2 linked regions of the Astyanax mexicanus genome follow. The protein of the gene in region 2 interacts with the protein of the main gene of each other region in a biochemical or structural test. Links are inferred from orthologs where the notes say so. Each region holds a gene or a part of one and is shown on either strand. Other genes may lie near its edges.

Evidence for each region. The genes of interacting proteins can lie anywhere in the genome.
Region 1: of the proteins of amfra (region 2) and herpud1, one has a biochemical effect on the other in vitro, tested with the Homo sapiens proteins (6 studies listed by BioGRID and IntAct, with this or other methods). The link is inferred for Astyanax mexicanus from reciprocal best matches to the Homo sapiens genes AMFR and HERPUD1.

The regions. Positions count from the first base shown.
Region 1 is NC_064416.1:22,559,267-22,566,939, reverse strand, and holds the start of herpud1 (homocysteine-responsive endoplasmic reticulum-resident ubiquitin-like domain member 1 protein), read right to left. Parts: upstream 3,009-7,673; 5' UTR 2,702-3,008; coding exon 2,546-2,701; intron 591-2,545; coding exon 513-590; intron 1-512. Other genes in the region: slc12a3 (solute carrier family 12 member 3), read right to left, coding at 5,132-5,273, 5,468-5,535, 6,233-6,368, 6,480-6,566, 6,800-6,911, 7,124-7,225, 7,466-7,528. UniProt on the Homo sapiens protein: Component of the endoplasmic reticulum quality control (ERQC) system also called ER-associated degradation (ERAD) involved in ubiquitin-dependent degradation of misfolded endoplasmic reticulum proteins.
Region 2 is NC_064409.1:59,157,515-59,165,288, forward strand, and holds the start of amfra (autocrine motility factor receptor a), read right to left. Parts: upstream 3,007-7,774; 5' UTR 1,957-3,006; coding exon 1,702-1,956; intron 1,565-1,701; coding exon 1,472-1,564; intron 1,159-1,471; coding exon 994-1,158; intron 839-993; coding exon 686-838; intron 588-685; coding exon 547-587; intron 413-546; coding exon 280-412; intron 1-279. Other genes in the region: nfatc3b (nuclear factor of activated T-cells, cytoplasmic 3), read right to left, coding at 5,233-5,303. UniProt on the Homo sapiens protein: E3 ubiquitin-protein ligase that mediates the polyubiquitination of lysine and cysteine residues on target proteins, such as CD3D, CYP3A4, CFTR, INSIG1, SOAT2/ACAT2 and APOB for proteasomal degradation.

The DNA.
Region 1 (7,673 bases), on a different chromosome or scaffold from region 2:
AATGCCATTACAGACAAAGAAAAGTTTCTTTCTAAAAGGAGAGCATTTCCAAAACAGAGCGTAAACATTTGTGTGCATGTGTTTTGTGACTGAGGGGCCACAAGGGGTGTTTAGTGCTTCTATGTGGCAGCTGGAACAACAGTAAAAACAGCCTGGCCCTCTGAACATATTTGGAGGATAGGTTTGTTGTCAGGACATGCCAAACTGTCTCAAAGTAGCTTCTTTGGGGCAGTTCATGCTGATGTTACAGGTCCTGTAGGACAGTTCACTAAGTTCATCTAAGTGTCACTGAACAGTTCTCCCAAACATCAAAGGTAAGAGGTCTAGTCATGCATGCTTAAAGGCCTTTGTTTAGTCTGATACATGTATGGCCTTTGTTGTTTGCAAGTTTTAAAGTAACGTCACAAAATCACACAAATAATTAAAAACGTGTAACTGTCTTGAAGAAACATAGCTTTAATAACATTCAGGTGCGTAACCTAACTGAAAACTTACAGATGCCAAAAACTCACCTGTCTGAAAATATCTTTGATATGCAGGTGGTCTGGAAGCAGCTTTCCGGAGTAGATAAGCCTCTGGTCTTTCTCAGGCTGGCAGGAAGAAAGTTAGAAATGTCAATACTAATGTTTAAAAATCCCCAAATATATAAAAGAGTTGTTTTACAGATGATGTTAAACTTTAGGTAATTAAAAGGAATCAAAAAACATGTAACATTATGTATGCAACATAAGCTGTATAACACAGATATTGTGAGTGGTGACAGAGTCACTGGATGTGCTAGGTTATAGTCTTGTTTCTCTGTATAAAGACCTGGTGGCACTTTACAATGTAGAAAAGTGTTTAGTGTTGTTTAGGTTTAGCCAGATAACATCAGCCCAGCTTTTAGGACTGACTAATAAATTCTCCTAATTGACAGGCTCTGCTTTGGGCTTGAGTTAACTGGCAAAACTGATCAATTCTATGTTGTGGAACATCCATCTATTTTTTTGTGTAATATTTCTTATACTTCTGTTTTTATTGCTTTATTTATTTTATAGAATATTTTAGTGCTTATAACACTGTTGCTCATTTTCTTTGGTGTGTTACCAACAAATGTTTTTTGCTTGTTTGTTGAGATTATTGTACTATTTCCCTGTTTATTGCAATTTCTTTAAAACCAATAAAACATTAAATAGAGAATGCTTAAGAATTTTGTAAATAATAATAAATAATGATATGATATTAAATAAAACATCAAATTTTCCAAGTTGACCATGTAACCTAGAAAATTAACTTTAGATTAGACATTAGGAATGTACAATATGAGTGACACTGTTGGAAATTTTGAAACTGTAGCCAAACTGAGAAAACCTGTTTTGGGAAATACCCACAGGAGACATATTAGCTAGCATTAAATAATGCTAAAATGCAGAGAAGTTAACAATACAGCATGAAGCAGCCTATCTAACGCTAGCTGTGGTGGCTAATTGGTTGACGGTCAGCTGACTGACAGGAACAGTGTGTGCGGAGAGCGAAGGAATGTGGTGTACAAAAACAGAGCTCTATCTGAAGCTACATTCGCTATTAGCTAACCAGCTAGTTTACACCGACTTTATGCTACACCAAACGATAAACCGCCCCAGTAGCTAATGTTAACAAATAACTAGCGTTAGCTACCTAACGTTATCAGCTTTATCAAACTTGTCAGTTTAGCTAGGTTTGTTAGCTAACAATGACATTGGCCGGTGTTCTGTCAGGTTGTGCTACCCTGTCAAACCGTGCTTCCTACCATAGTGTAACTTTAAAGGTAAGACGTGTAGCGTTAGGTAGGGTATTAGAATAGGCCAAATCACTGTATAAGGTAAAGTTAAAGTAATATTAGTTGATTAGAAACAATTTATGTATTTGTATATTTTTAATGCAATATACACTTTTGTAACAGTCAGGCATACAATGACATATCAAGTTCTTATTACCTTTTACTGCACCCAAGCAGTATTTTACATATTGTATTATGTAAAACAGCTATAGCTTACACAGCTAACAATGTCAACTTTAGCCGGTGTTCTGACAAGTTGTACTTTACCCTGTCAAATCGTGCTTCCTACTCTAGTGTATATTTACAGGTAAAAATGCAACAACAACAACAAAGCACCATAAAAAGCCCTATATTAGAAAAATGCTCCTGGCAGACGTGTAGCGTTAGGTAGCTAAGGAACTAAAATAGACCAAATCACTGTATCAGGTAAAGTTAAGGTCATATTAGGTAATTAAAAACAGTTTGTGTAACTTTTCATTTTACGTTATATTTGTTTACAATTATTTTTTTTAACTGCCGTATACACTTTTTGTAACACTCGAGTAAATATCATTAACAATATCATCAAAATCTCATGTATAATGGCCCCAAGAAAAACAACAGTATTTTCATGAAAACATTTAAAAAAAATTATGTCGGCGCATGCGCAGTACCGTTCGGAAGCACATATCGACGCGTAGCATAACTCGACAGAACACCGGTCAGCTTCTCGTTAGCTAGTGAGACCATAACACACCCAGGACTTACCGGTTTGGATGGATAAACTCTTGTCAGATGAGTTTTCAGATCCTTCACCGTCCAGTTAATATTTACACCCTCCACCAGCTGGTCGCCATGTATCTGATTGGGTGTTTTAACCACAAGAGATATCTCTCCTTTCTCCTGAACATTCAGGTCCTCCATTCTCTCTGTGTTCTCGTTCTTTCTCTCTTTCTTCTTCTGTCAACAGCTAAGCTATTTAGCTAGCTTGGCTAACCTCGTCAATAACGCTACGGTACCGTCTCCACAATGTTCGCAAAATAAGCCTAATAACCCCCCCAGCCTGGGTTTAAAGAGCAGCTCCGTGTGTATCCAGCTCCCTCGCTCTCCAGTACAGAGTAATAAAGCTGTCCCCCGCGGTTTCGGCTCTCACGGTGGAAGTTGATGGAGGTGAAATACTCGGGCGTGTTGTTTCCAAAACACAGTGTGGCCGCGCCTGATTGGCTAAGAGCCGCTCGCGCTTCGACGTGGAGCCTGTGAGACAGGCAGCGCAGTGCGCAGACTCGCTGCGAGATCCTGCTTAGATAATAAACTCCCCCGAGCCGCGTCACTTCGGTTAGCTACTCTGACCAGTATGATGAAATATCACCTTTATCTTAATGATTCATCGAATAAACCTTTAGAATATATTGTAAAATGTTATATTCTACTCGCAAAATATTTTATTCACAAGCAAAAATTTCAGACCCAAAACTGAGCTTTCCTACATATTTATTTAATTAATTTCCGGTCTTTTTAATTCACTTCTACAATCTTAGTAGCATCAATACAAAAAATAGAAAGTTCTTCTGTTATTATGACTTGTTTTATAATGCTGATCTATTTTTTGATTTATTGATAAGCCTTCCTCAATTAGTGTATTAATGTGTTAAGCCTGAATTATATGCCAGTGAAAAATATTCTTCCTGCAATTTACACAAAAGGAGTCTCTAATAGTCTAAAGTAAAATAAAAATAAAATCCAATTAAAATCCTATTAATATTTTAATAGCTTTTTTTAATGTCCATTTCATTGGATGCCTGTGTTTAACATTTTTATATTAGATTTGATATTGATCTTTTTACTTTACAAATCATCCATAAACAGTAATTGTAACATAATTTAAGTGTTCAGAATCACGTGAAATTAGAAACAAATAGCTCTTACTTGCTTTGTTGGCTCTAGTGCTGCCTTTGCTATGAGCATGTTGGATCCAAGAATAATGGATATTATACATATACATATAAAGGAAATAGTGAATTGATGAACAATGAATAGACCATTAGAAATGCTCTAAAATGACTTAATATGAAAAAAATGACAATGTAATTAAATATTTTTACATTTACTTCCATTAAAAAATATGATGATACAGCACAGAGTTTCTCCCTTAGATATATAGTAATATGGCCCTTTCTAAAAGTGATTTGAGTCTTTTGATAAATAATTACATTATTTAGCAAATATCAAATCAGTTTCCAAAACTATTCAAATCTTTTGATCAAATAGTTGAACATGGTTTGATAGACTCAAATCCTATTTTAAAATAGTTCAAATCAGTTTTTAAAAAAAATAGTTTAAAGAAAAAAGTGTTTCAAATCTTTTTTTTTTTTTTACAAAATTTAAATCTTTAATGTTGGTGATTCAAATTTCTGTTTAAAAGACCAGCATCTCTACAAGTCTTTTAGAATCTGATTTAAATACTTAACAAATGCCTTAAATGTTTTAAAAGGTGATTTGGATCTTTTGAACAATGATCCAAATATTTGAAAAAAATAATTTGAATTACTAAAACAATGTAAGAAGAGGAGGTAACAAGGTAGAAGTACAGAAAGCAGAAATAATCAGAAGGCTAATTGCTTAAATTTTTAATACACTTTAATATAACAAAATGCATTTGATGAATACATTACTGATTTTACTTTACTATGTTCACTGTTTATGGGCTGGACATTATTTGTTGCTGTACATTTTCTTATCCAAATTCCATTACTGGTCAGTTTATGGTTAAAATGCTGCTGTTGCGCAAGTAATTCATCTGATATAAAACTGACATCCTAGTGTGTGAGGAACCGGTGTACGTAGAAAATGTAAGTAAATGCTGGCAGTTTTACACATGCTAATGTAAATGCTGGATTGAAAGTGGGTCCACCACCTAAACATTTACAGTAAAGACCACCCCTATTGTCAAAAAACTGAGTTATAAAATTATATTACTAAACACAACAAAACCTTCAACTTCTCAGATAATATAACATATTCTAGAAATATTTTGCACAGAATTATAGGAATCAAATAAAATATTACATCACTTGGATCAGTCCTATAATGACTCAAACATTTTAGCAACAGTTCATTAGTTAAAAAAGACAAATTCAAGTGCTAGAGTGAGTACCATCTTATTTTACATTTTCTAGAACGGGGATTCATACCCTTTTTGTACTGTGCAACCCCTTTTTAGGGTTTAAAATCAGCATCCCTCTCCTCCAAGGGACTACGTCAGAATCCCCAGATTATGAACCATAGTTCTAGAGGGACCACCAGTCTCCTGTCCTGCACTTCACAGCTGCAGCTAATAAGATTTTGGCAGGTTGATCACTGGCAGTAGAAAGTGAGGACATTCTCCTGGTTCCCCCTGACCAGCAGGACTGGAGGTCGCAGGTCACGGCACACGGTCTCCAGCCAAGCCATGTAGAGTGCACTCGGGCAGGCTCCTCTCCGGCCTATGGGCATGGTCCTGCCAAGCAAAAAGCAAGGATCTCCTTCAGGTAATGAAGACATTAATAACAAAAAATGGATCCTTGCCTTATTAAGTCTTTTGGGCGCAAGTGTCTGTAGAGGCTACTTTTCACATACCAACAAATTCAGCAATCATTAAAAACTGTAGAAGCACTGGGACAGTAAAGCTGTAAAATTCTGATATAAACTTACACAATAATCAATGCAGCATCTCTCGAGTAGTCCTTTAGGACTTCGTTAAGGCGGATCTGTCTGAAAGACTGGAAAAACACACAGAAATGCATAGAAGCATTACAGAAATGCAACAAAATGTCATTATTATTATATTTGCAGTATTTGGATGGTTGTTTTTGTTGTCTTGGCTGACTAAGCAACTTAGATTTGTATCATACACTAATATAATAATAATTTTCATCATATTTCAAGGAAGCTAAAGAATGCTACATTGACTTGTGTGATATGTGTATATGGTCTCCTGAAATGAAAGCAGATTTATGCCAAAGTCATTTGTTCGTTCAGATGGACAAATCTAGCCAGATGCCGCAGGTTATGATCATTACCACACACTGTGCTGTTCATTGTGGGAGGTAATGGCACCTATAACATTTTGCTGTGACCTATGTTCCATACACATGACCCATGTCCCATCCATCTGGCACCTACACTCAAACTCAGATAATTCAGATTGCCTTGCCATGAGCAAGCTTGTGTTCAGTTCACAACACTAATAAAGACGTGGACAATCCCAAGCCGTCTCGTGTGTTCATGCTCGATCTACATACTGCATGTGTAACCCACTGTGTCACATGACCAAAAATCTAATATCTATCGTCTAATTTATTGACAAACTGCATTACTATCACCTTTATGTACTAAGAGCCCATATTGTCATTATATGAATATAGACCAATTTACCTTTTTATATATCTAAATCTTAAAACTTTTTTAAATGGTTACCTTTGCCAAATTCTTTTCAAAATCTTCATCAGACACTGTCCACGGACACTCACTGAAGGTCTGGGCACCTCTTTCTCCATTCTTTTGCATAGCATGTGCCCTGTATGGCCCTAACAGGTCTTCAAACTTCTTAACACTGTCAAAGTCGGGAGAAATTGTCACAATTAGCTGTTACACCATGTAAATGCATATTATGTAAAAAAAGCACAGTGTGGCACAAAAATGTAAGTGAGAAAAGGACTAATACTGTTCAGGCTGAGGTTTCTCGTTGATGTCAGGGAGGATTTGAATCTCATGGAATCCAAGGCGAAACTTGCTGATGAGAGCTGTTAGCCTATAGAGATGAAGAGATAAAGAGAGAGGATCAGAAGGTCTGAGGAAACCAAAAATTTAAAGTGGACAAACCTAAACACTGAGACAATCTGATTAATATTTGCATTTATGTTTTACAGCGTTGATGAATAATAAATAATACAACTTTACGTATTGCTATGTTATTTTATTTCTCTTCACAGTGATAAATGAATATACTCATCCAGATAAGTGTTTCATTTTTGCTTGACTTACTCTTGTTTCTGTTCCTCAGCATGTTGAATCTCTCCTCCCACAAACACTCTCACTTTACACCTGCCCCAGCGCTTCTTACGCTTCAGAAGGTACGGCAGCAGTAGCGTCAGGCCTGACAAAACACAGCATTAGCCAAAGTTGCATCAGTTTTAGACAGCAGTGGTTCTTGAACCTTTTAGACTATATGCCACCCATGAAAGCCCTTGCTTCTTTTTGCAATCTGATGATTGTTTCTGGTCAATGCATTATTACTACCTAGACATCTGTTTCATACTGGGTCTAATTAGTTAAGCATTAAATACAAACAAATGAAAATAGCTTCACCTCCATCATCAAACAGCCAATACACATCAATAGTCTTCTTTTCTTGCTTAGTCTGAAAGACGGTGCTGGGTTGAGTCATGGCTATAAGCGATTCAGGATCCACTGAAACAGAGACAGTTATGTACAATCTGCACAAATATGTACATATATCTTCACACAACAGTCATAGAAAAAAACATTTCACTTGCAGGCCTTATTTTTCTCTTTTTCTTATTTTTATCTCCTATGCATGACTAGACATTCTTTCACAATACAGTCTTCTACTTGGGTAAAATATTTCAACATAACATCTACCATCATCTACTATCACTTAGCTTTACTTTTAACCTGATCTATGCATACTTGATGTGCTGATGTTTCTGGCATCTAGTCCTGGTTCTGTAGCTGGATCAAACCCTGGGTTAACTGCATAAAAGAAAAAAATGCGTGGTTGGAACACAGGTTCTGTGAAACAGTTGCAAATTTAGAATTATATACATATATATATATATATATATATATATATATATATATATATATATATATATATATATATATATATATATATATA
Region 2 (7,774 bases):
TAAAGTTGTAGCAATCTGTCAAGAGCAGTCTGGTTCAGATCCAGTTCTAATGAGCAAGCAATTACTCATATTTGAAAGAATAAATTAAAGATAAAATACAACCATGCTCTAAAGAAGATTTTTTTTTATCCTAATAATACTCTTGATCTAAATGATCTGTGGCTGCACTGTAGTCCTAGTCCAAAAGGTAGACTCATCGGACTGCAAGAATGATTCAATTAAATGCTTAGCATTACATAAAATAAGCTGCTTTCAAATCAATAACCACATGCCACTCACCAACATGTGAATATGATGCATCAGGTCAAGACAGAGAAGAGCAAGCTCCATAATGAAATCAGTGTAGTAGACATAAGAGCCTTTGCTCTCCCAAGTCCCCTCATGATTCAGGTCCCACAGGTGAATAGAGTACCTAAAAAAACAGTACAAGCAAAACCTCAGTGATATATTTTTCGAAGCACTTAACAGCTCAGGTTTCTTTGCCTGCAAGTGACAGCATAAACGGCGGTACACTCGTAATTGATACTGGACTGACAAAATGCTTACCTTATAATAACATGTCCAGTGCGCACCGTAACAAGTAAACACTGCAAAATAGAAAAGGATTCTGTTTTTCCATTCATAAAACAACTATCAATTTCCTCTCTAGTGTTACAGAGAAGCTCGGAAACTGAAAAATCCCTACCTCAGCTGTCATAAATGCAACAGTATGCATGCCATGAAGATGTCCGACCAGGCCACAGAGCGCAGCTAGGCCTCCACAGCACAACAGCATGGACACTAGCAAGGCCAGTACTCGCACATGACTGCTCATGGGGGTGGTTGGGGAGAATGACAGCTAGGGGGGGGGGGGAAACAGAATGAATGAATATCTGAGTGTGATTTCCTTTTAAATTCACAATTCCACATGAAACAGTAGATAAAAGAGCTATATACTTAGTTAAATTCAAAAACAACCAAGAATTCTTTCTAAGTGCTTATAGGAGTACTCACATATTCAAACCGATCTTTACAGAGCTGAACCATGAGATGAAGGAAGATAAGTACAGCAAACCACAAACACCACAGCACTACCTCGTCCACTGTTTGCACATTCAGCACTCCAAAGATGAAGATAAATTTATAGAAGATAAAGTTCCAGAACTTGTCCTTCAAGTGCTGTTGGGATAGAGGTAGCACAGAGACATAGGGGTTTCATAAGAAAACAAAAAAATCCCCAAACTCTGTTGTTAGAACACAGAGGTGTAGCTAAGAGGAAGCTTCATAAAGCAAAAGGTTAAACATTCTGGCAAATAACAACTACAAAAACTGCAATGTTCAGTAGTCTTATTGTGAAAATATTCATTAATATTAATATGCTTTTTTTTTATTTTTGGCTGAATAACTTCAGTCTGAGAATATTTTGTGCATCATTGAATAAAATGCTTCTTCAATAATCAGGGCCAAGCCCTATGCAAGCTTTTGCGCTCACCTGTTTCTCACTGACCCGCAGAGGACCAAAAACAATGCACTGGATCACCTTGGCGATTAGCATGAGGACACAGCATGCTGTATTCACCATCACCTGAAGAGATAGGACAGTGCAGTTTGCTTTGGGGGGTGATTACTCGTTGATCTTCATAAACACAGGGACAAAATAAGCTAAATAATCTATAAGGACGCTGTTTGCTGTCACAGTGGACCATTAGTAAGAGCACTTACCCAGACGAATAAGTTGTCGGCGATGAGATACAGCAACACGTTAGAGGCAACATGTTCAATGGCCTCTCCTTGATCAGCTTTACTGTCCTCGATGGGCTCGGTCCGGGCGTCCTCTGCTACCGGAGCTGCGGGCTCTGGGATCTGGGTTACAGCGGTGTAGGCACTGAGGATCGAACCAGCGAGCAGGACTGTGCTAAGCGCAGTGTAGGTCTGCAGGCTGGGCCAGGGGAACCTCTCCAGAAACAACAGGGGCATGGCGAGACTGTCCAGTGTGCACGTCTTCAGATAAAGAGAGGGATCTACAGAGAGGCTTTCTGTGTTTACACTGAAATGTTTACACTGATGATGAAATGGGGTGGGAGCAGTACTGTGAGCTCCCGTCTTCTATAACGTTAGATATAGTTTAGCTAAATAGTTAATTAGTTAACCAAGTTATTTAGCAGGCCTAGTTGGCTATTTAACAAGCTTTATTTAGGATTCAGGTCACGGCACGAACCCTGTGAAGCTGGATAGCTACCAGGTTAAATAGATATATAAGTTAGACAGGTAAGGTAAGTTAACGTTAGATAGGTTACCTAGACACTAGGTAACCTTAGCTAGCTAAATAATTAGCTAGCAAGTTGAAAATTCGTTTCTGTGCTGTCACAAGTCCTTAGAACTTAGAATTGGGAAAGCTAACCTAGCTAGCTTAGCCTGACAGCTAGCTATCAAAATCTAGGTTAGCTTACGTGTTGTCTGTTAGCTAAGCTAAGCTAGTTGGTTTAGCATTACGTGTAAACAACACAAGACACCAGTGAAAACGACTAACGTTAGCTAGACTAGACTATTTAACGCTAGGTTACATGCATTTTTCTGCTTTTCTCGGTTTTAAATTCCATTACTACAGATCTCAGGGCGGGCAAATGTTTTAACAATAGCTACAGTTTCACTGGCAGTGCCTGTGGTCTCCAGCAAGACAGGTTAGTTAGCTAGAGAAGCTAACAGGCTAAAGCCAGCAGGGCTATAGCTCACCGCTCCAGCTGAAGCCTCGCCTCTCAGTAATGTCAGTAATATTCTTAAGCGGATTAATACGAACTCAGGCAGTCAGGGGGAAATGCCGTCAGTGACTATTTCAGGCCGAGTTCGCCCACAAATGTCCGAACAGAACTTGTAGTGCAGGCTGTGTTACAACTACAGGACTCCCGGGGTCCGCTGTGTTCGTCTCTGTGTGTGTCTGCTCCAGTCTTCCAGTTGTTTCTCGGAGTTTCTCTCTCTCTCAGCTTTTCCGGCGCTGCTGACGCAACCCGAGCCTCTTCCGCTGTTTACACAAGAGAACATGGCGCGTATCACTCCGCCACTGTACTATTGCTGCGGAAGGCGCTGATGGGGGATTGTTGTAGTTCTAGTTATACAGCATTTAATTGCTGGGAAGTGTGTAAAAAAAATCATTAGTTAAACTATCGACTTCAGAGTGCTAAAAAAAGTCTACCAATCCATTACTGAACTCTCCCCAGTATAGCTGTAGAAAGGTAACCTACAAGCCCCTATGGTGAAGTAAAAAAAATAATAATAATGCGTTGCCACGACCTATTAAGGCATGGGAACGAGATATAAGTCCTGGCCATATACACCACTTAAAAATTATGGGTTTCTTTGACTTTACCAAATTGAAAACCTCTGGAATATAATCAAGAGGAAGATGGGTGATCACAAGCCATCAAACCAAGCTAAACTGCTTGGATTTTTGCACCAGGAGTGCCATAAAGTTATCCAAAAGCAGTGTGTAAGATTGGTGGAGGAGAACATGCCAAGATGCCAAGATGCCACCAAATATTGATTTCTGAACTCTTAAAAACTTTATGAATATGAATTTGTTTTCTTTGCATTATTTGAGGTCTGAAAGCTCTGCATATTTTTTGTTATTTCTGCCATTTCTCATTTTCTGCAAATAAAATCTCTAAATAACAGTATTTTTATTTGGAATTTGGGAGAAATGTCTGTAGTTTATAGAATAAAACAGCTATTCTACTAGTTCATAAGCAACTAATACAAGATGCTTAGAAAACTATTGCAGGTGAATACCTCATGAAGACACTGAGACAATACCAAGAGTGTGCAAATCTGTCCTCAACGCTAAATGTGGCTAAAGTATAAAACATATTTTAGTTTAAAATATGTTTGTGTGGTCGGGGGCTGCAGTAGCCCCATCCACAACGTTTAAAAACCACTTCTTTAGATTTCCCTCTATACTTGCCTTGTCATTGTTTTTATTAGTTATTTTTGATTTAATCTCTCCACAAACTTTTTTTTGCAAACTGTTTTTAAATATTTTTAGCAAACAATAACTGTTGTGTGGCAAACCAGTGAGTTAAACCTTACACTGTAGACTCTGTATCTCTGTTCATGAAGACTTCTGTTACTATTAGACATGTTTGGAAGACATTGTATGCTAATGAATGCAGTTTTGGATGCACTCTGCATAGTGACACTTTAGTGTATTGGTTTAGTTTACTGGCACATACATAAAAGAAGAAGACTTTGAGACTTTTAGAGTAAGATATAGTCTATGACAAAAATATAGTCTATGACTAGTCTTATTAACAACCCAAAGTGTTTTCCATATTAATGTGTTAATGAGTTTTTGGCAGCAATAAACAAACAAATAAATAAACAAACAAATCTGGACAGCAGACTTCGAAAACACAAGAGGTCAAATATAAAAAAATACCTAAAGTTTTTAAAGTCTTAAGGCTACTGTAGTTTAAGGCCTTCTATAAGTGTCTTTGTCATAAACATGGCTTTTATCTTGAAATAGAGATAAAAGAAATAGGAGAAAGTGTTTGTTTAATATAGTTGAAAAACAATATTTAATTCCAAAGCTTTCTACACAGGCAAAATTTCAGTGCATAGGAAAAGGTCACATACCTTAATGTTCCATACAATTTCATAAATAGAATATGGAATCTGAAAAAGTTTCAGATAAAAAGTGTCTGTCACGTAACAAGTCGTCTAACAGAAAATGTTACAAATCAGTGTGTTCTCAGCAAATCACAAATCAATCATGCCAAATTACACAATTACAAACTACAGTTCCAGTGGCAGCTTCAACTATCACACCTAGGTTACACTGTAATAGTGTAAAATGTCCTATACAGCCACCCCAAAATATTTAGATTCATAAAAACAATATTGCATAGAGTCATAAACACCCTTCACAGTCAACATTTTGTGAAGAGTTGATTTTAAACTGAATGTCACATTCAAGGCACCTCAGCAAAAGGCACATCTAGTCTCAGGTCTCAGCTTGAACATTCACATTTCATAAGTCCAGTTCAAAGAACAATTCAAAAGATAGTACCTAGCAATCCTAGTAAAGCTCGAACCCATACTATGCAGCAACTGCTTATAAACACATTTGATTATTGCAAATACAAAATGTATGATAAGTTTTCTTTATGAAGCCCTTTTAAAAGTATAAGGCAGATAAAATACATTACAGTATGTACAGTACAACTTGATCATGTCAGAGGATCTGACTCAGTAACAGTGCTGCTATGGCAAGCTATAAGAATCCCCTGCAGGATCTGGACTCTGGAACAAGTCTCTGACAATGATCTCGCTCACTGAAAAGAGAAGAAAGAAAAAACACAAGTTAAAAACAAACATACCATTAACTTTTTTATAATGGTAACAAACAATAGTTAATAAAATATTAAGTATTAGGTATGTAAATAGGGCACAAAGCCTTTAGCACATTTTGCATTCTCATAAAAAATGATTCCCTTTTACATAGTACTTTTATTTCAAATAATTGTTTTCTTGCCTGTACAATATTCTGTTATGTATTTTTTTTAAATGTCTTTTAAACACATTTTAATGTTTTTTTTTGTCTGAATCTGAATTTTAACCAGATTTTCTTTTTTTATCTGAAACCCACAAATAATGAATTAATGTAGATGTAGATGTAGTAGATGACAAATGACAATGCACCAAATATTTGACAACTGAACTTATCTATGTTAAAATGGTAATACTAATAATAAAAAAACACTTTATATTCTGTATTCAGACTTGTTGTTTGGTTTTGGTCAAAAATGTTCCATTTCAGTATATCCCTAATATTAGGCCAGTATTGTTAAGTCACCTTTTTTTACATTTAAATTCCCAAAGCTCCTAATAGCAGTTTTCTGAGCACAGATTAAAGTCTAAGACTGCATGGAATGTCCAGTAAAGTATTTTTAGTCTCAGTTAAAATCTTAGGACTGGGCTTATCCCGTGTAGAGGAAATGATTTTAGAACCATTTGAGGGCAGTGTTGTTCCTATATTTGGGCTCAGCTGGGTATCTGTATATCCTCCTGTTGTTCAGTGCAAGCACAACGCTGTGTGCATCACCAAACAACCACAGCTGGTATAGAGAGTGTGAAAACGCAATCATGCTAAAATTTTTTTTTTTTTTTTTGTGCTTAACAACACACCTTTTACTGCAACACAGTCATATTTGTACAATCTTCTTGATTCAATAGATCAAATGTCAAACACCTAAAATTAGTCAGATATGGTTCTCAAAACAGAACTCAAAGGGGGCTATTTTTAGCATCAAACAAAACACCTACACATCATGGGAAATACAGCATGTATATTATCTACTGTCTGACCAATATCTGATCTGATTTTCCTTTTAAAGCTTTTAGATGTTTGTCTGTATTTCGTCCTGCTAAACTTCTCTAGAAATACCAAACATAATATATAATTCAAATATAATACATACGTGTCAATTCATTATAAATACACTTGAGCAACAGCAAATGTATATTTTCAGTAGGGTCTGTTGCAGAGAATGGAAACGGCAACACATTTGCAGGGTTACACTCTTGGCAATGAAAGGCCCTATGATGAGAAACAACAGTACTCAGTCATCAGGGGGGCATAGCAGTCCACTGCACCTGTCCTCTCCAACACACAAAAGTGGAGCTGAGACATGGTGGCAGAAGGCCAGGTTGGATGGGTGCCTACTCTCTTTTGAAAACACAGAAGCAGGCTAGGGAGTACGAGAAAACATTTAACAGAATTATATTTGAGCTTGTAGGATTCCCAGTCCAAATTTAGCCATTTAAATGCAAGGTTACACTTCAGATAGAAAGATGAGGAAATATATTTTCCTGTCCGCCTTAGAGGTAGGTCAGAACATCTTTCACTTTAAATGTGCTGTTCCCTTAAAATACACAAGCTAAGAAAGTAACAGTATAAACAAATAAAGCTCAAACCCCTGAAGGCCACAGATTTGTCAGGCTACACAGTAGGGTGCCAATATCCTCTGCTATGTAAGGATCTCATTTAATGCTAAGCACAAGAATGTTTTGTATGAACCACGCATGTCTATCACTACAGTGGCTTAACAGCTGTGCGCTAGTAACTACAGAAGATTAAGCTCCGCAGTATATTTAGCTCCCTCACTGACTCTGATGCAATGCTACGTACAGGCCTGTATCCTCTTTCCCACTATGCTGCAGGACTGAGGACTATAATTAGACTCAAACCAAACAGGTTTCCACAAACTGTGGGGTAGTACCTCCTGGTCTTCTATTGAGAGTAAAACAAAAGTCAAACGGGCCCCTGGCTTATGTTTGACGTAAATTTATATGAACAAAGTTTATTAATTGTTGTCCTAATTAACTGTCTCAGTCTCAATTACCTCCAATTACCGAAGATAAATGCATTTGCATATGCTCCAAAAATGATCTGCAATAAAATCATTTCACATTTACTAACTTTAATGTTTCATCTCCTGTGAACCAGTAATTTAGAAATGCAAGATTGTTTGTCCTTCAGTGACAGTATATCCACCAACCAACCAACCGATCACTTTATTTAAACCAATTACAGCCCTACAATTACAGACTACAGTCCTTCTGTTCCTGTGCATTTATTACTTTATTATCCTCCTATTACCCTGCATTTCAACTGGTCAGGACCAAAACAGAGCAGCTTAAACACTGTGTCTACTCACTGTCCACTCAATTAGGCACTCCTACATAGCTACCCTGTAGATGTAAAATCAGAAGCTCATCCATTGCTGCACAGTGAGTAAACTGC